4 linked regions of the Drosophila melanogaster genome follow. The protein of the gene in region 1 interacts with the protein of each later gene in a pairwise test. Each region holds a gene or a part of one and is shown on either strand. Other genes may lie near its edges.

Region 1 (3,838 bases):
ACAGATGGGTAGGTGGTAATGCCCTGCCATGGCATGTGTTCATTGTCCAAGAGCAGTTCATGCCTGGTTACGCATCCCTATGTGTGTGTGTGTGCCAGTGAGTGTGTGTGTGTGTGGTGGGGTGCAGGACAGGTCGGGGGGCAGTTGGCATATCAACTGGTCGGACATGGTGTAAACACGTTTAATGTTGTTGCCATTGTCGTTGCCGTTGCCATTGCCATCGCATGGCTGCAGTTGCTCCTCCTGGCAAGCTGGCTGGCTGGCGAGCCCTCGGAGTCACGGAGCCATGCAGCCATGGAGCCATGGAGCCACCTAGCCACGGAGCTCGTCCTCTTCTGGCGCCGTCTCCTTTGCCACGTTTAATTTAATCTACTGGCCAAAGCTGCAGCCGCTACCTTGACATGGTCTGCACTTCAATCTGCATGCACGGCGTACAGTGGTGCCTGGCTATATCCAAACTGTTAGCAGCCAACAAGCTAGTTTCGAATTGTGTCTAATTTGTGTAGAAGCATCACAGCACAGTCAGGCGTTTTAAGGGAAGCTAATATCTTCTATTTAGGATCAGTACAATAAACAATACAAATAATAACAGTTATATACTTTAAGCGGTATCCACTGTAGTTTGCGTCCTGGCTGCTCGAGTGCACCGCAGGTCCATTTAACTTAGCTTTGGCAGTGGCAGTTAGTAGTAGTAGTAGTAGTGGCAGTGGCAGCGGCAATGGGGTTCCAGCTAGCTGGCCACCTTCTCCGCTTCCTCGACTTGGTGCATCACTCAAATGCCGGGGAGCCCCGCAGGCCCCCAAACGAGGCGACAGGAATGCGTGTGTGTAGCAGAGCGTGTGCAAGTATGAGTGTGGGCAACGTAATTTGCATGGTCAGCTTGCAGTTTTGGGACACACAGAGTGGCAAGTTGTGCCTCGCTCTCGTCCCTGGCTTAATTGCATGCAGGAATAGCAACTGCAGGAGCAGCCTCATCAGCATCGGCAACTTCATCCAATTGCCGCTGGAGCTGCGACCCACAGATCCATACAATTTCCGGGCTGTAAGCGATGCGGCTCTTTAAAGTTCACTTATTAAGTTGCAAGAATAGCAGGAAAATTCAACCAAAAGTGGGCCAGTTTGAAAAATATCAAGAATATGCCAACGATACTCACCTACGCTCTGCCGGGTGATTATGCTGCACGTGGTTCGACATGGTCCGTGCTCGTTATGCGGAACATTACAACAACAAAAAAAAAAAATTTAATATATATGTAGGTACGCAAAAAGTGCTGGATTTCCTTTTCATTTGTTTTCCACACACACTAGACAGACATTCGAGTTGAAGTCAAAATCAGACAATGTTCCCTCCATATGGCTCCATATCACATTGGTCGAAAAAATGGCAAGCTTACAAATGGCGCAGTCCCCGGCTGCATAAACGATGTCATTTTTTGGATTGCCCAATTTTTTTTTAGGTAGCTTGCGAATCATTTGCAAGCGATTTAATTTCAATTGCATGGGCGTTAATCAAAGGAAACAAAAGCCAACACGGGAAAAAGAACAAAGAAAACGCTAGTCCACTTATTCGACAATGTAAAAGAAAGCAGAGAGTTACTATTAATGCAGCAAAAAATGAGCAGGAGCAGTTCAAATAAAATCTTTCCAGTAATTTTCGATTCATGGACCAAAAACCGTAAACAAAAAAATCGTTCTATTTTACATAGTGAAAGTATGTTTTCATCTATTTTTTATCAATCTGAGCAAAACTACATATAAACATAAATTATTTATATAATATTTATATTAAATTATTCCAAACATTTTATTATACCATTTATATATCGTCATCCTTATCAAATCTTATATCTAAATGTTTTTTTTTTTAATGTGTAATGTGTTTTTCCTATTTGGTTTTTTGTGTGCTTTGAATTTAGGCGCGCAACAAAATGAATAGCAACTGTTTGGTATTTTTATGTCAGATTTTGTACCAACTAAAAATCGTTGACATCTACTACGTTTCAACGTCTGGCCACTCTGCACGAATGCAAAAACAAACTGAAATAATTTTTTAATACCATTTTTCTTCTTGGCGCGAATTGGCTACAAAAAAAATGAATGGATCGCGTAAAATAAAGTCCATGAAGACGATTCGCCTTGGCGACGTTCTATACGACGACCAAAAACGACTTCTAACGCTGTGCCGCAGCTGCGAATGCCACTTTATGACGCTCCAATCGTTCCAACGCCACCTAGCCGATTGCCCCGGAGTAAAATACATAGTAACGCCGATCGAACCGCTGGCATTTGATGATGCCAATCGGGAAACGAGACTGGTGAATGGCAGACAGGAGGTAGGCAGCTAAGGGAGCTCCATGATCCGGCGTTGCCCTGAAAACTTCCTGAGAATCCTTTTGATTGAACTCACTTCTTGCAGATTCACATCTACGACCTGGAGGCGGTTAAGAAGAACACCAACACGGCCATCGATTGGGAGGCAGAGCTGGAGGATCCACGCTGGTACACCAATCCCAAGCCCACCGTGCAGACCATACCAAAGACAAATTCCAAGGAAAATATAGTAAAGGAGGATGTAGTGCCGCTCGCCAAGGAGCCTCAGGAACCGGAAGGGGTGCCTGCGAAACGTCCGCGTAGCCCTCCCACCACCCGACGTACCATTCTGACCTCCCAGCAGCAGCGCAGATCCCGTGCCTGCTTGACTTCCCCTCAACCGCCAGCAGTAAAGATGAAAAAGGCCATCATTCTGGTGCCCACTGTGCTGGAAGATCTGAAGCGATTGCAGGACACGGAGAAAAAGGAAAGGATTCCAGAGGCACCACCAGCTCCTGTACATCCTGTAAGGTCATTGCAATCTCGTGCTACCGGGACAACGCAGTCAACATCTCAATTGGTACCCATGAAATTTTCTCCTGCATCGAAGCTTATTATACCAGTCTCTTCAAGGATATCTGAAGTACCAGAACCTCCCAAGACGCCCGAGAAACCAGTTCCTACCATAACAAGCAAATCAACTCCTCCATTGGATGGCACCCAGAAAATCCTAAACAAACTCAGAGCATGCGGTGTGGAGGTGAAGCGAGCAAGTACCCAATTGAATGCCACGACTGAGCTAAATCCAACCAAAAATCAAGAGACCTTGGACATCATGAGAAAACTGCAATCCAAGGGCATCAGATGCACCAAAGTAAGAAAATCGTAGTTGTATTCGCCGTAGTGTAAGGATGGTGCCATTAAATGTGCCTCTGGAGGCGAGGATTTAGCAATATAACTTTATTTAATTTAAATGGAGATTAATAAATTCCCGGATAGCGTTTATAACTTTAATAGCAAGCGAGTCTCTTTATTATCAAATCGCTTAATTTTAAATGTTTTATTTTGGTTTTTTTGCTCAAGCAGTGTGACCTTTTGATGCGACAACGTTATCGATTTAATATATCGACTATACACTAGTGGTGGCTATTTAGCTTATAAATGTATTGAACTATATTAAATAATTAAAACTATATATCACTCAAACAATGCCGTTTAAATACTTTGAAGACGGTAATCACATGTTCCATACAAAATGTTAACAGTCCTAGCTTTTTTTATGTTGTCCATTTATGTAGCTGAAAAGTTGGCATCACTGTGTAAGAAGAAGAAGCAGCTTGTTGATTTTTGGTGCCGCACGCGTTTCGGTCGAAAGTAATTGGAAATATTTGTGCTTGCGCCCGGCGTTATATATATTTTGTAGTACTCGAAACACTGCCGAATCCAAATCCAAAATTCGCGTGTGCACACCCACCTGCCGAGGCGGTACCAATTAAAAGGTAGGTCAGCTGACGACGATGGCAGCCAA
Region 2 (7,994 bases), on another chromosome or scaffold:
CAGGGCTTTCCGTTCCTCACCAGAACTGGAACGGCTACCCGACGGGGCGATGGCAGGGCACTGGGGTGATGCGGATGGGTGGCATGGCCGTGCAGTAGACCAGGATGACCCTCGTAGCCCTTCTCGTTTTGCGCCCGCTTCGTCTTGTAGCGATGGTTTTGAAACCAGATCTTCACCTGGGTCGGCGTCAGGCGGATCAAACTGGCCAGGTGCTCGCGTTCCGGGGCACTCAAGTAACGTTGTTGTCGAAACCGACGTTCCAGCTCATATGTTTGCGCCTTGGTGAACAGGACTCGTCGCTTCCGTTTCTTATTTGGCAGACCGTCGGATCCATTTGCATCCCCGCCGCCACTGCCGTCGGCGTCGTCCACGTCGTCGATATCCTCCTCGATGCCATCTTCGTTGAGGCTATCGTCGTGACCACTGCCTGCTCCGTTGATCCCCTCGGCCTTCAGGCTGTGGTTATTGTTGTTTGTCGTATTATTATTGTTGTTGTGTAGGGCATGGGCCGTCGGAGCGCCTCCGGCACTTCCATTACCAGAGGATCCATGGAGGGTGTGCAGGGCGTCGCCCACGGATAGTGCATCGCTATCGGCCGACCGGCTGTAGCTCTTGTAATCGCCGGAAAGGGCAGGCGATGTCTGGCAGTTGGAACCAATGTAGGTGTACGACACTTCCGAGGTAACTGGGGAGGTGCTATCCGGACTGGCGGGCTGCTGGGTACCTGAAATCAAAGAGGAAATCAAGGTTTTGGTTAATGTGCTAATTCTTCGTAGTAGATATATGGCTAAAACCGGGAGAAAACTCCCTTCTTAATATGCTGCTAATTGAGGAATAAATTGCTTGGGATAGCCATTTATTTATTTGCATTTTTCACAATGGTCCTACAGAATGGAAAGGCAATGGCAGGGTGCGAGCCCTGGGTGGGAATTTGTCAGCAATTGAGAAACCTCTTTAGCCGTAAATTAATGTAGCGACACACCCCTCCACATCGTCCAAGTGATCATGCAGAATTCGGGACAAAAGGGGGAAGTCAGTATCGCAACTACGGCAATTGGATTAGGCGCAACATGAAGCTGTGGTCGGAAACGATCCAAATGTCAAATGCCAGATGTATGCACTCCTTATGGTCCGCAGCGTCAAATCAACCCCTGCCCATCCCCTACGAGCTTCACCCTAACAACGCCAATTAGGCGGAGACAAACAGAGATCGCACACAAATACATACAAAAATACATGCCTAGGTGGGTATTCCCTTGTCGTCTACCTGAAACGATCGCTTCGATCTCTCGCTGAATGACTGCTGATCCTGGGCCTGTACTAAAAACCAGCAACCAGGATACTAATGGGACAACGACACAAAAGCCAGACCTCAAACACATCAATGGTAGCCGGGTCTCTTCCGGTTCGCCCCCTTTCGCAAGAGTTCCGAACTTCCAACAGATAGTGATTTAGTGATTTATCGCCGGGTGTGGCTATTTCTGATATTCTGGGGCGGGATCTGCGGTTGCAGAGGTATTAGAAGTGGGCTTATGCCAGTATTCAGGCAACTTCAAACGAGGCATGTAACTATAGAAAATCAAAAAGAAGCCCTTTAGTTCTTCCTAGCTTTCGAACTTTTGGATATAGTGCTGCGAAGGCAGCATTCCAAAGAATCGGAACGCGTCCTATCTGCATTTCTATTCCTATTGCAATGTATTTCATAAAATGTCTTCTAATGTGTGTATTCACCTGCCCGGGGTGATGTCCCCGTGGGACATTGATAAAACAACAAATGCAAGGGTCGTAGGAGCTCCTAATGCTCGCCTATCAGCTCCCACCGAGCTAGCCGCATTTGCCCTGCCACGGAAGCCATGCGCTCACCATGACAACTCAACAAATTAATAACTTAATATAATCAAAATGACTCTTCCTCGACTCCTTCACAGCTGTGGAAACTCCCAAAAAAAGAGCAGAAAAGAGAAAATAAAAAAACGGCAAGTGGGCAGCAGCTATAATTTGTAGCTAAACAATAAAGGAATAATAACAGAAGTGGGAAGGGATGAGGCGGAAGTGCGTGCCATAAATTTCCAGGATGAGAAATGTTTGGGCCGCAACAACAAGAAGCGATCGAGCGGGCAGCGATTGAATGTCCTGGCCGAAGGACACGAAGGACGTCAACTGCCAGAAAAACAACAGGGCTAATCCTCAAGTGTGAAGCGCATACAAACTATTAGTCATGATTAAAGGGGAAGCCCAACCCCTGCTCCTTGATTCCCAGTTATATACCCATTTCGATCCGCAGTTAACTGCCAACGAAAATAAAACACAACAGGGCCAGAATTAAACAAAGCTTGTCACACCCTGGAAGCACGTGAATCCGTCGAGTCCACAGGGTATGCAAATACAGCTGCCTCATCGCTCGACTGCTTCAACTCTCTGGCTCTCGGGAGCAGTGAGTGGTTAGTTACGGAACAGTATCATTAGTCGGCCAGTTAATCGGGGGTTAAATGCAGTCGAAAATTGTAAATTTCTTAAAGGGAGCTTCCTGCGGACTTCATTGATGAGTCTATTTTGAAACCAAGTTAATTCGTTGCTCTTTTGCCTACCCACGATTCAAAAGGATATTTGTTTGGGATCCAAAGACTTGCTTACAACCTGCCATTTAAGTGTTGCTTCTTCAAAAAGCCAACTCTAACTTGGTTATTGATATGGCCAGGAGCTATCTCCTGGAAATGGAGCAAATGAAAATGGATACATGCGTATCCATTTATGAGTTGAAACATTCGCTCACCGTATAGCTCGTTCTCCTTGATCCACGCACTCCTGCCCGAGTGCTGCAGCATGGTTTGGGCCATGTGGTGGTACGAGGACATCTCGTCGCCAAAGCTCCCCGGGAAGTTCTTGGGCAGGTTGGGCAGATATTGGCCGGCGGCCACAGCAGCCGCAGCCGCTGCATTGTGGCTGGCCAGCAGATGGGCGGCGGCTGCATTGGCATGGGCGTGGCTTTGGGCTTCGCCGCTCTGATGGTGCGCCAAAGGGAGTGGGGCCACCGCCTGCTGATGGTGCTGCTGCGGGAGGAGGAGGTGAGGGTGGTGGTGCTGCTGGTGGTGCGGGTGCTGTTGCTGCGGATGGCTAGGAGGGGCGTGATGCTCGGTGGTGCTGTGGTGATCCGCTTCTCCCGCTCCTCCCCCAGTCCCGCTGCCATTGTGGTGCTCGTCCGCGGAAACGCCCGCTGGCGTGGGCGACAGCGCCGAAGGCGAGGTGTGAGATCCCTGGCCGCGATGTCCACTGGTGGACTCACTGGCCGAGTGGTGACTCAAATCGCTGCCATGGTGGGCGGCAGCAGCGGCGGCAGCTGCTGCATTCTTCAGCTCAGAGCCCTCCAAATTCAAGATGTCCGATATATGGAAGCCAGAGCGTTGGGACGACGGCACCTTTGCATCGAATAAGCTGCAAGGAGATCAATATGTTAATTCTAACTGAACTTCAACACTAAAAATTTGAGTTAAATGTTTATTTCTCATTTCAATTGAGCACTCGCCTACAGTTTTAAAGAAAAAAAGGCAAAAAGCATACCAAAGATGAGTTGTAATAGTTTTTCTTGAGATTCTGTGTAGTTTCTTAATTGTCCCGGCAAATTGTCATATAATCGAGTGATTAATGACTCCCCGAGTATAAAGATGGCTCCTTAGAGGACGTGGAACGATTTTTCCCTGTTTCATGCTTATTGCAGCGACATCCTGTGTCAATCGTGTGAATGGCCGGAAGGTTTAACAAAAGGAGGTCCCTGTTGGTCGGGATATGCAAAGGAAACTACCTGCACTACCTGTAGCGCTCTGACTTTCACAGATTTTTGCACTTGCCGTTGTTAAGAAGATAAGGAGGTGGGGGGTGTGCATCCTGCAGGCATGCTTCGGAACCGAAAACGCGCACATTTCCCCCGGAATTAACTTTGAATAAGTGCACCCAAATCGCTGGATTATTGACACCTAGTCCCGGTCAGACCCCGAGTTTTGATTTGCCTAATACCATCAACAATTAAACGCAAATCCGCCTCGTAAGGATCGCAGCTACCTGGTCGGGTCAGTGCAGGTCAGCACAGGTCAGCAGGGACTCTTTACGGGTCGAAACAGGTCGTGCCACATGTTGGCGCAAGTTTGCTTGCTTCCGGTTTTCCCATTTCGAGTTTTCCCGAAGACCCCGACTCGCGAATTTCCCACGCTATGGACAGGCTACACGGGCATTCCCCGTCCTCCTGAGCGGAAATCCCATTGCCAGACAGTGTGACGCCAGTATCTCGAAGGCATCTGAGTCCCATGTCTGTCGTACACATGTCATTCCCGATTGGGGTTTCCCTGGCTCTCACCTACGGGAATTTCTAAGCCAGGGTCGAACAACAAGCCAGAATTTCCCAACCGCCATTCGCCAGGACCTTGAGTACTTGCCAGATCAAAGAGGCGGGGAATTATACCCTGTGTCCTGTACTTGCGCGCTGTGCCCGCTTGGTTAATTTAAAGAGCTACCAGGATTAGCCGGACAAGTCCATCAGCTATATGGGATCTAAACACTAATATGGAGGCAGAGGCTCGCAGGGTGTGATTTTAAGTCGGAGCTTAGGCGAAGGCAATTGCAAAGTATGGCTGGTCTTGCGTATTCTGCAGATTCTGCTTTCAACGCCCAATCTTCCAAATTATTAGATTAGGAGAATTAATTAATGGTCTTGCGTATTCTGCAGATTCTGCTTTCAACGCCCAATCTTCCAAATTATTAGATTAGGAGAATTAATAGAAAGACATAGAAAATTAATCGGGAACCCAAAACCTTGAAAACCATATCTGTTTTTTACAAAGTGGTCAGCCATGAAAGGCAAACGTATTGTCGGTGGTCAGTAATTTTGTTTCAATCTGAGGCATGTCCTTATTATCCATATCTTGGCCAGATCCATGCCATCAAAGTGTTACCAATGCTTAAGCGTTTATAAATAGCCCACAAAACAGAGGTCATAATTAGAAGAACTAGAATGGACTTGTGTCAACGTATCACCAAAATATGCTTTTCGTAACCAAGACATATGAATCATAGGTTTGTGTTCACCACTCCAGAGGTATCAATGTTTTAATTATTCCATTGGAATCCTTGTGCTTACCCAGGCAAAGCGTTTCGCAGGGCCGCCGGATAAAAGGCGGCTGGTAGGAGGGCGTGGTTCCACGGCGGCAGCAGGATGGGCGACCAGGGCAGAAACGGGGCCGCTGCTGCGGCGGCCACAGCCGCCGACGATGGAAGCATAAGACTACTCATGCTGTGGAGCCCCGGAAATCCGCTGAAGGCGGCTGCACCCGTCGGAATGCGGAGCTGTTCGGGCGCCAATCCGGAACTGGAACTTGTGTTCGTGGGCACGGTGGTGCTGGCGGTGCTGAAGACTGCGGCGAATCTCTCGTGATCTCTGTCTCGCTCGTGCCGTTCCTGCCGCTCCTTGCGATCCTCCCGGTCCTCTCGATCCTCACGCTCCCTCTTCCGCTCCAGCGAGGGCGTTGAGGTGCGCAGCGGGCGCTTCGGCGTGGCTGGGGAGGACGGACTCACCGTGATAGCGCTTTGGGGCGATGCGGGCAAGCTGCCAGCGCTGCCCAGACCGCTGCTGTTGTCCCGCTCGCGATCTCGATCCCGCTTTGAGGGGGTCCTCTCCAAGGACGCCGACGTGGTCATATCGCTTTGCGATATCGGGGAACCACTGTTTGATTTACTACGCTGCGACGCGGGTGGCGGCGTGGGCGGACTTTTGCGTTTCTCCGCCACTTTGGAGCTTTTACGGTGTTCGGAGCACGGAAAAAAAATATGTTTATGTGTAGTTACTGGGTAGCACTGCGATGAATTAAGCGGGTATCCTGGTAGGGCAACTTAAATTCCAGACATAGTTCGATTTAGGCTTAAGTTTAAGTTTATCACCGGGAAAGTTCGATAGTTCAAGGGTCGCGAGTCGTTTCTCGATTTCTCAGTTGCACGGGTCCGCGGAGCAGCGCACTCTACACATTCCAAACTGAAGTGTCATCAACAACTAACGAGGCATCAAGAACTCAACACGAGTCCAAGTCGCTTCAGAACAGCCAATAACCAAAACCCAACAACCAACGGCAGAAAAGTACCAGGTCGTATGCTCGGGGTGTCTTTGGGTATCACTATGTATGTGGTGCATATCTGTATCTGCATCCCTCTGCCATTGGGTACATAACGCAGATACTCGGATAGTCGCACACACACACACACATACACAAACACACACACGCACACAGCCAGACTGGAGAGACTCTCGGCTTTGTTGGGCGCGCTAAGTGGCTTCTTATGTCCTTTTCAACAAGGATACGGCAACAATGTGAGTGGCCTATTCAACCACCGAGAGAACCAACCACCATTCGTCGCCAGAGCGAGACGTACGATGTGAACCGAGTCCTTATGCCGCACGTCATCCCGCTCTAACTCTTTCCTGTTGCTTTCTCTGCCGCTCTCAAGAGTGCCACTTGAGTGAGAGTGTGTGTGTGCTGCAGCCTCTGTGTATGTTTGCTTGTGTGTGCGCGAGAGTGAGTGTGGATGCGAGGCCATTGTAGCGCCTCACGAACCTCCTCAGGCACGTCGGATTGACGTTCCCAGATAGGGATTCTGGGATTGGGCCGTTCTCTTCCAGCAGTGCTCTGCACTTGATGTTGTCAGCATTCCCCGCGTCATTTAATTGTATTTATCATTATCAGCTCTCTGCAACTCTGGACTTCCGGAGCGGGAACATCAGCCCCGACTTGTGGCGCCTATGCGGTGGGTCCAAGGAGAGGACAGGACAGGGCAAGACATGCGATTGTGACCGGCATTTAGCACGATAATATCAGATGGTGATATCAGCCATTATCCTATTGAGGAACGAGGGCGATAAGAAAAATTTTCTGGAATTACGCTCTCGCCTTTTCTATATGTAGTTGGCTATTTAAGAATCAGATCAATTCATCATTTAAAATCCCAGTCGGGTTGTAATACTTTGAGATTTTGAGTACCAACCATGATTAGATCTGGGGAGGATTGATCACATATTTGTGATTTTATATTAGTCAGCAACGAAATCTTATTTTGAACCACGAACTATTATTTTAATACTTAAAAGGCGCACTGCGAAAACCCTTTTAAAGGCATTCTCACATTACCATACCGGTGAAAGAACGTTATTTTTGCGAAGGCATTATTTTCTTCTGCCGTGTTAGTGGTATGCTATTATACTTGGACATTTAGTTTACTTCACGGTACGTTCTTTGGGAATTGCAATAAATTTCTTGCGTGCAACGGAACTGTTATAGACCACTTTGGCACTGACATAGGGGCCTTATGTACAAGGAGTGTCGCTGTTCGTGCAATTTGAATTTCGATTTCATACTCGTAAGCCAACTCGTGATTAGTGCAGATCCTTCAAACGCCAATACATGGCGCCGTTCCTTGAGAGGTGGCTTCGGGACACACCCCGGACACTCACAGATAGGGAGAGTGCGAGCGAGGAGGTCGAAAGTAAAGTATGGGAATATACATAATCAGCACGAGCAGTAAACGACAGGACAGACTGAACTGGGGGTATCCGCCCGAGGCAATTGAAAACATGGCAAGAGTCCGTTGGGGCTGGCCCCATTTACATATGGGCTGGGGGCTATATACATATATCAGAATATGCATATACATATATATATATATATATATATATATATATATATATATAAATATATGTTGTGTATATGAAGGAAGCTCCATGATCCCTATCCACGAGCATCCGCCCTCTAAAAGTGGGCACCCCACTGTCGCTCATGACTTCGCACCATTATTCTCCCCATGGGGGAATGGAGGTGGTAAGTGGAGGGGGTAGAATTTTATCTTGTAATAACCTCTGCCGACGACGACGTCGCCGTCAAGTGGGCGCGTCATGGCCGCCTGGCCAATGGGAAGAGCGTGCGAGCAGGAGAGTTATACCGTGCGCACCGTGCGCTGACGCG
Region 3 (2,858 bases), on another chromosome or scaffold:
TTAATTAGATTTGAGTCCAACAGAAGCGGAGGCCTAGACAGCGATTAGTTGGGGCAAATAACAAGCCACAACAAGGAAATCACCAAGAGTACTCGTCTGCGACCAGAGCATATAAATTACACCAGCTGGACGTACACTTAATTTGTAGCCGAGGCATTCAAACCGGTTGGGGCTCAAATCGCTAAACCCCCAGCAGCTGGAAGCCAGTGACACACAATAGCCAATTGCCAATTGTCGTTTTTGAAACGCTTTATGTTCAGAATAAGTATTTTAAAATCGTTTACAGCAAAGTGAATCGATCGGCTTCGAATCATCAATTTGGGTTTTGTATAACAAACAATAAGTACACCACTGTACACAGCATACATTACAAACATTAAAACTATAGCCTAGCATCTGTATGTGGGAGTTACTTAAAACTAAACGCTCGACCTCGACGCGCCCACGATGTAGCCCTTGGCGGTGAGAACGCCCCGGCAGCGGACATGCACCTGGTAACGCAGTGTCCAGTCGATTGTGTAGCCAGGGACCAGTCCGTCGAACTGCTCCACGGGCAGCAGGAGCTCGGGATCGCTGTGCGTGTTCAGTTGGATGTCGTGAGCGGTGCAGAACTCCTGCAGTTCTGGTGGCACCACGCAGCACGTAGACAGGTTGACCTGGGCAATTGTGGGCACAACCTGTGCGCTGTTGTGTAGCTCCTCCAGCGCCGCCGCATCCAGATCGGCAATTCCCAGCTGTGTAATCTGCTGCTTGAGGGCATATTGCTCCAGTGTTTTGTACAGTTCCTTCAGCTCTGCCACTCCTTCCTTTCCATTGCGCTGGCTCCAGTTTGTAGCCCTGCTGACGTTGGAATCCTCGGAACAGGGCGGTTTGGTTGTGGCCACCGGCGTTGCGGTGGCAACCGCATTCGGGTGGTAGGCCAACACCACATTGTCCACGTGCGTCACACTAAGTATGTGGAGCAGCTCCTCCACCGCCTGATTCACAGACTCTGTGGAGTGGCGATTGAGGAATATCTTGGCACCGATACTTATCTCATTCCGTCCATTCTCCGTCAAGCGGGTGGTCAACTCCTGGGTGGCCCTTTGCACCCGCCCATGCAGCTCGTCGATCTCCTTTTCAACCACCACGCGCTCCGCAGTCGAGTCGGTGTGGAGCGTTATCTTCAGGCCGTCGTACAGCTCCTCGTTCGATTTGCGCTGTCCCAGTTCCGTGGCGATGATGTTGCCCGTGCTAATCACCACGTTCTGGTACTTCTTCGTTATGGTCGGTATCATGGTGACAAGTGTTCTCCTTATTTGGTATCTGCTACTTTCGCGACCGTCCAGACAACTGCAGCCCTCTCAGGTGTGTGAAACGCGTGTGTTCTCGAGCACCGACCGCTTGGCCACTTAAATACACTTTGCACCGAAGTGTGGAGAGAGAAATAAATTCTGCTGACAGCTGGTGATGGACGTTGGCCGATTGGCTTCGATAAGGTTATCGAAAAGTATCCATGCGCCGCCAGGGGTACTAGATCCAAATGAAATACAATTTAAAATTCGAATGTATAATAATAATTACAGTGTTGCCCAACTAATAAGTCTAGTGCCCTCATTGTTCATAAAAAGCATGACCATTGAAAATGTATTTAAAATTTGTATTTTAAGCTTATATATTTAGGTAGCTATTTATTTAATAAGGAAAAGCAGCCGGTTAATAAAACAATTTTATTGAGTACGTATGCCTTAAAATGTCATATCTAACCGGTAAATTGTAACGGTTTCCAGTTGTAACTGTTGTTTAAAGTGTTCAATTTGGAGATTTAGAGATTATAATAGAAGAACTAGGATGTGTGGACGGGCTGTGCGCGATTGGTTGGTGCTATTGACCATGGAGAAGTACATTGGTAAATTCCTGGAGCGGGGGTACGACAGCATTGAACGCTGCAAGCTTATTATCGTAAGCGATCTGATCATGCTGGGAGTGGATAATCCCGCTCATAGGAAGCTCCTGCTCGAGGGAGTCCGGTTCTTGGTCAACGCACCCGAGCAGTTCATCTGCAAGGAGCCGTGTGAGCTGCATGAGGAGATTGAACTGAAATTAGACCCGGATGTTGAGTTGTTTGCTTCGCTAAAGTGCCTGGAAAATGTTGATTTCCTAGAAACACCTGTTCCATATTCGCTAACATCTCCACAAAAGACGCTCACAACTCGGGACTCTTGCAAATGGAATGTCAAAGGTGTGGATCAGTTACCTTCCGATAACATATTTAACTAAATACAAACAAAGCAAAAAATAATGCGTGTGATAAGGATCTTTATATATTTTTAAGAACCAATAAAACGACAATTGAAAAGCTGTTTTACAACACTATCATAATCAACCAATATAATTTCGTAAATATTTTTCAGTTTAAATAAATACATATGTATCTATTATATTAAAGTAAAAAAAATGGGGTGAGCAGATTACAAGAAACTCATACTCCTGTGTTTTTTAATTTAATGAAAATTACTTAAACGTAATTAAAGGATTCAACAAAGCGTTCAACAAATACTTGATGCCTCTCATCAAATCTTGGAGGCGTGCATCCATGGGTGAAGCGGCCACCACTCGCTCGATGCTGGCCGTACCCAAATCCCGCGACCGGCACTCCACACACTCGATGGTTTTCAGCTTCACCTGCACGTTGTCAGCCAAAAGCCGAGAATTGTGCAGGATTCCATAGAATAGTACAACATCGCCCTCGCTTAGGAGCCGTGTGAAGTTCCCAAAGTCATGGTGAGCTCGTAGGATAACATCTGTGGTGGTGGAACGACCCAGTAGACGGCCACTCCTCTTGGTGCCCACCTTGACCAGCAGCTCGTACTCGTAGC
Region 4 (4,934 bases), on another chromosome or scaffold:
ACGCCCATGATCGAAAATGCGACCCCCCATGGATGGGAGAGCGCGTCTATTTGCGATCCGCTTATCGTCAAGTGATTATCATCCGTCTGGGTCACCAGTTCAAGTCGCCGGACGACGATAAGGACACTGCCCCCCCTTTGCAGCTGACGCACTTCGGAAAGATCGGGAAACGTACGTATATAGTCGAAATGGAGAATATTGGCAGAAAATGGACAAGTTTATATGTATGTAGCTTCCTCCAGCAAATTACGTATCTCTAGTACCATTTTGTTGTTCAACGTTTCCAGCTGCTAACTAATAATCCCTGGAAGATTCTTCTATTTTCAACGCAGAAATGAATTGGACACGCAAAATTTTAGCTGCAAAAACTGGAAACTGGTGATTCCCACTAAATTGAATGCTAATTTCTGGCCACAAGTTGAGTGCAAAATGCATATACATATGTATGTATGTATATTTATATACAAATCTGCCCACACGAATGGGAAATTCGATTTAATGGCCAATGCCAGATTCTTTTTTTTTTTTGCGTTATCAGTTTAAATATTTAGACAAGTGCAAACGAGAATGACAACAACAATGCTCGATAGGGCGCAAACAGCCGAGAAATTCGAGTAGGCCCAAAAACGAGTTTCAGGCCGAGGTAGCGAATGTGAATCAAAAAGATTCAAACTTGGCGCATGGCGACGTTTTGAATACACTAACAGTACACTGATACAAATACGGTACATATATGTACATATGCTATAAGATCTCAATTAAACTACACATGTACATAGGTACTTAACAATGATACTACTATAAACAACACTTTCAGCGGATCGATGGCATGCCATCCACGTAGGGATAGTGCAGTGTGGGAACACATGGCTGAATGAAACGCATGAAGCACATGGCGATTAGCCGGGCATGCCAGGAGCCGCAAATGGAAGCGAAACACAAACTTTCTGAGCACCGCGATCACTGCAAGAATTAAAGGCAATCGAAATGCGAGTCCCCCAAATGGTTCAATTAGCCACACTTTTTCCACCCTCCCCTTCACTTTGCCTGGGACTTTCCCGGCGAACTCACCTTCAAAGTGCTCTGCTTGGAGTCCGAATATCGTCTGATCGCCGGTAAGAATGGCGTTGGTGATGGTTGTTTTTTGGCGGCGATGCGAGTTAAAGCTCCGCTAAGCTTTCCAGTCTCGAAGTTAACCGGGTTGCCAACTTTGGTGTTCAGGTCCCGACTAAGGCAAAACCGAAGCTTTTGTGTCAGTGTAGAGCGCGCCCGCTGCATGTCTTTGTAACTGTAATAAGCAGAATTTTATAGATTTTAGTGGATGTTTTTCAACAATCCTTGGTAATTATTAGTACTCACACGGCTGCGTTCGAATCGGAACTGCCGCAAAGTGAGAAGAGTCGCCGGCGCTGAGATGACGCCGCCGCTGGCTGATAAGCGATAACGATAACCCGTGACCCCTGACCGACCCAGTGATAAGTCCGCCCAAGAGTTCCGACCCGATCGCTGCGCTATCTCTTGGCCAGCATCCAAAATATTCGACACCGAAAATACAACGAAGCGAAAACACGCGTTACGTTGGTAAACAACATTTACCAGGCTAACAGATATCAGCTGTTTGGGTAGTTGGATCGCTGGATTTAGAAGCTTTTGGCGCCGTCTGGCAACGCTAGCGATAGCTACCAATTCTTGTATAAATATTTACAATTTGTGGAAATGTTAAGCGTGTGTGCCTCTTCAATTAATATTAACACTTTATTTTATATCATAATATGCGTTTCTCTCAATCCCTTAAAATGTACGTAGTTATCAAACGCGCGATAACGTTAAGGCATTTAAAGTACCCGCCAAATTGCTGGTACTGCGAACCGGTTTAAGTTGCCAACCGATTGGGAGAGTGCAACATCTCTCTCCAGCAACATTGCTGCCAGCCAAAGTCTATATAAGCAACAACGAAAGTTCAATTCTTTTCACTCAAAAATCCGTCTCCTCCGCGGTACGTTTCACTTCGCTGCGCCGCTAAAAGAAAATTCCTGGAAAATATTAACAAACACATGAGCCTAACATTCTTAACAATTCCAAAACAGAACATTTATTTTTGGTGAATTTCCTGACAATTTAGTGGTTAGTGTTTAATGTTAAAACATTGCTGTGCGCATTTACCGTTATCCGCTCGCAAGGCAAAAGAAAAAGCGCGCGTTTTGAATTCGCTGTTTCGCATTATTTTTTTTTATGTTAAAAAACAAAATATAGAAATGAAACAAAAATGGCAAGCCAGAAATTAAATGAATGAATGAATTTTTTTCGACACAATTCTGCTGCGTGTGCAATTCGATTCGAATAACAAAACAAAAAGCATAAAGGAAAAGTAAAAGAAATTCGAGGGGGGAAAAAAACGCCAAAAGAAAAGATAGCGCGAAAAGTCATAAAGAAAAGGTGAGAAAACAAATTATTTATTTCATGTGCTAAAAAGACACGCAAAACGAACGTCGTTTTATTTTTAGCCAAACAAAAGTTGTGTGTTATTTGTGCGATTTTCTGTTTTTGTTCGCCGCTCTCCCCTTGTTTTTTATCGTTTTTGTTTTTCAATCATATATTTTGTGCTTCTTTTTTTTTTTGCATGTTTTGTTTTGTGCGTGCTCTTTTTTGTTGAATGCAAAAAGGCGAACAAAATATTACGATAAAAATTCCGTTGTTCTCGCCGAAGGTTTCCGGGTTTGTTGACTTTGCCAGCTGAATATTCGAAATTGACATAAATAATAATCGCATGCAATTATTGTAAACAATTGTTTTTCGCTCAGGAAACGATTGGCGCTTTTTCTTCGCTTATTGTAATTGTTGCTGCCAACTAATCGCCAAGATAAAAATGAAAAAAGAGGGGAAAAAACCTACAGAGTTGCAAAAAATTAATTAAATTCATAGGCCAGTAATTTACATTTTTTGTGTGATTTTTTCGCTTTTTTTGTAGTTTTTGTCTAAGCTTGATAATTAGGGTTTTTTGCGGGCTGTTGTTTATCTGCTACAGTTGTACCCAAAATAATAGTCGATGCTTAAAAATGTTTACAAAAAATGTAAATTTTTGTGGCGCTTCAAATAGCTTTACTACGATTTCGAACACAATTGTATATCTTAAGTTTTGGGGCTATTTTTTGTGCTGGTTTTAAATTTTGGTTTATCGGTTTTTGTTATTTCTGTGGCTTTTAGTTTTCTTCTTCACCTGTTTAGCCTTATTTTTTGTTGTCGATTTCGGCTTATTTGTTTTTAGTTTTTTGTTGCACTATTTGAATGCGAGTTTTTTTGTTGTTGAGAGAGGCATTTCCGCCTTTATGGCAAAAGCAATTTACAATTTGCAATTTACTTTTCTCTCGTTTTTTTGCTGTATGGCAATTCATTTTTACAACTTTAATTATATGAACAAAAACTGCAAAACATGAACGGCAAAAATTAAAATTGCAAATCGCATTTGAGTGACGTCGCCGTCAACGTTTCTCCTTCCTTTTGTTTTTGTCGGCTGTTTTATTCGGTTTTTTGTTTTCACAGCGGCATTCGCCTGCGCAAAAAAAAATAAAACAGCGAATCAGTGTGTGGAAGATTGTGTGGAGGGGGGGCAGAGAGCGAGAGAGAGAGAGAGGAAGAGAGCGTATCAGGAGCGAATCTGGAAATTTTTGAACCAAGCTACCGATTTGCAAGAAGAACATGAAGTTAACAAAATATATAGGTTATTGAGCAACAAAATTACGTAAAACATTTAAGATATTTAATGGCACTTAACTCGAATATTTACCCCCTGATCCGGCCCTGGCTTCTGTGCGCTAGTGTTGGTGTGCGTGAGTGCTCTCTCTCTCGTTCGCTGCTCTCTGCTCCCCATCTTCATCGACCCCCCACCACCCGCCTTCGCCCCACTCACACACATTTCAATTACATGTGAAACGCGTGCTCCAAATTTCAAGTTCATTGTCCAAAAACAAATCAGAACAAAAGCGATAACAAACAAGCAAGCCAAAGGCAAAAAAACAAGGGCAGGTCAGCATCCGACGTGCCACGCCCCCAAATTTGGAATATATACATACATATATGCATATATGTTCATATACATACCTATGGACATAATTAATTAATTTATAAATGTGGGAGAAACGCTTAAATAAAGCCTAAAATTAGTCTAAAACTACAACGATTGATATTCCAACAAAACCAAATTCGAAATATAAAACATTTTCAAATCGATTTCGAATAAATGCATATTTACCTGGGCTTCGAGATTTGAAAGCTTTGCATCTAGATTTCATTATCATAAATTATTCGTAATATATGATATATCATGTAAAAAACTTTTGGGTATTCCCACAGTCGAGTCGAAATAAAGCCGTGAAGTATTTATAACAAAATCACACTTATTTTCGTGTTATTCCGCAACCAAATAAAAATTCTTTAGAAAAACAATGCGGCAGTAGGAAATAAAGCAAAAAACGACACAAATTTTGACACGAAATATTGTTTTTCGTGTGTGATTATTTTGTTGTTGTCATTTTTTGTCATACCAGCTTTAAGTTTAGTTTACTCTATGTGTTTATTTATTTTCATTTTGGTAGTTGGCAAATAAAATTCGCTTACGTAAATTTTGGGGTTGTTTATGTTTTGCGCACTATATATGAAAAATGATAACTATAATTTGCAATGCGTAAATAATGTTTGTCAAATGCCGACAAAGTTCCTTAAATCTATTCACAGCGTTTTCAATTTCAATTTCGCCGAAAAAGGGTTTGATTTTGCAACCATTTCTTTTTCATTGAGCTCCCCACTTTTTTTTTCCCTCATTCTCTGATATCAGCTCATATTTATAATTAAAAACAAACAATAAAAAACTGCACTGCAGACGGCAAATCGGAAAAATATAACAAAAAATAAAAAGAAAAGAAGCCATAAATATACAC

The links.
Region 2: the proteins of CG10265 (region 1) and vnd interact in a two-hybrid assay, tested with the Drosophila melanogaster proteins (one large-scale study listed by BioGRID).
Region 3: the proteins of CG10265 (region 1) and CG17625 interact in a two-hybrid assay, tested with the Drosophila melanogaster proteins (one large-scale study listed by BioGRID).
Region 4: the proteins of CG10265 (region 1) and CG3726 interact in a two-hybrid assay, tested with the Drosophila melanogaster proteins (one large-scale study listed by BioGRID).

What each region holds. Positions count from the first base shown.
Region 1 is NT_033778.4:14,992,007-14,995,844, reverse strand, and holds CG10265 (uncharacterized protein), read left to right. Parts: upstream 1-2,009; 5' UTR 2,010-2,093; coding exon 2,094-2,333; intron 2,334-2,416; coding exon 2,417-3,199; 3' UTR 3,200-3,322; downstream 3,323-3,838.
Region 2 is NC_004354.4:589,086-597,079, reverse strand, and holds the start of vnd (ventral nervous system defective), read right to left. Parts: upstream 6,039-7,994; 5' UTR 5,686-6,038; coding exon 5,129-5,685; intron 3,433-5,128; coding exon 2,774-3,432; intron 725-2,773; coding exon 1-724. UniProt on the Drosophila melanogaster protein: Probable transcriptional regulator involved in the regulation of the proneural AS-C genes and the neurogenic genes of the enhancer of split complex. Could specifically activate proneural genes in the ventral-most neuroectoderm.
Region 3 is NT_033777.3:22,685,074-22,687,931, forward strand, and holds CG17625 (uncharacterized protein), read left to right. Parts: upstream 1-1,775; 5' UTR 1,776-1,830; coding exon 1,831-2,259; 3' UTR 2,260-2,334; downstream 2,335-2,858. Other genes in the region: Gclm (Glutamate-cysteine ligase modifier subunit), read right to left, coding at 420-1,277; wfs1 (wolfram syndrome 1), read right to left, coding at 2,494-2,858.
Region 4 is NC_004354.4:5,915,192-5,920,125, forward strand, and holds the start of CG3726 (uncharacterized protein), read left to right. Parts: upstream 1-1,905; 5' UTR 1,906-2,436; intron 2,437-4,934. Other genes in the region: Shmt (serine hydroxymethyl transferase), read right to left, coding at 1,072-1,278.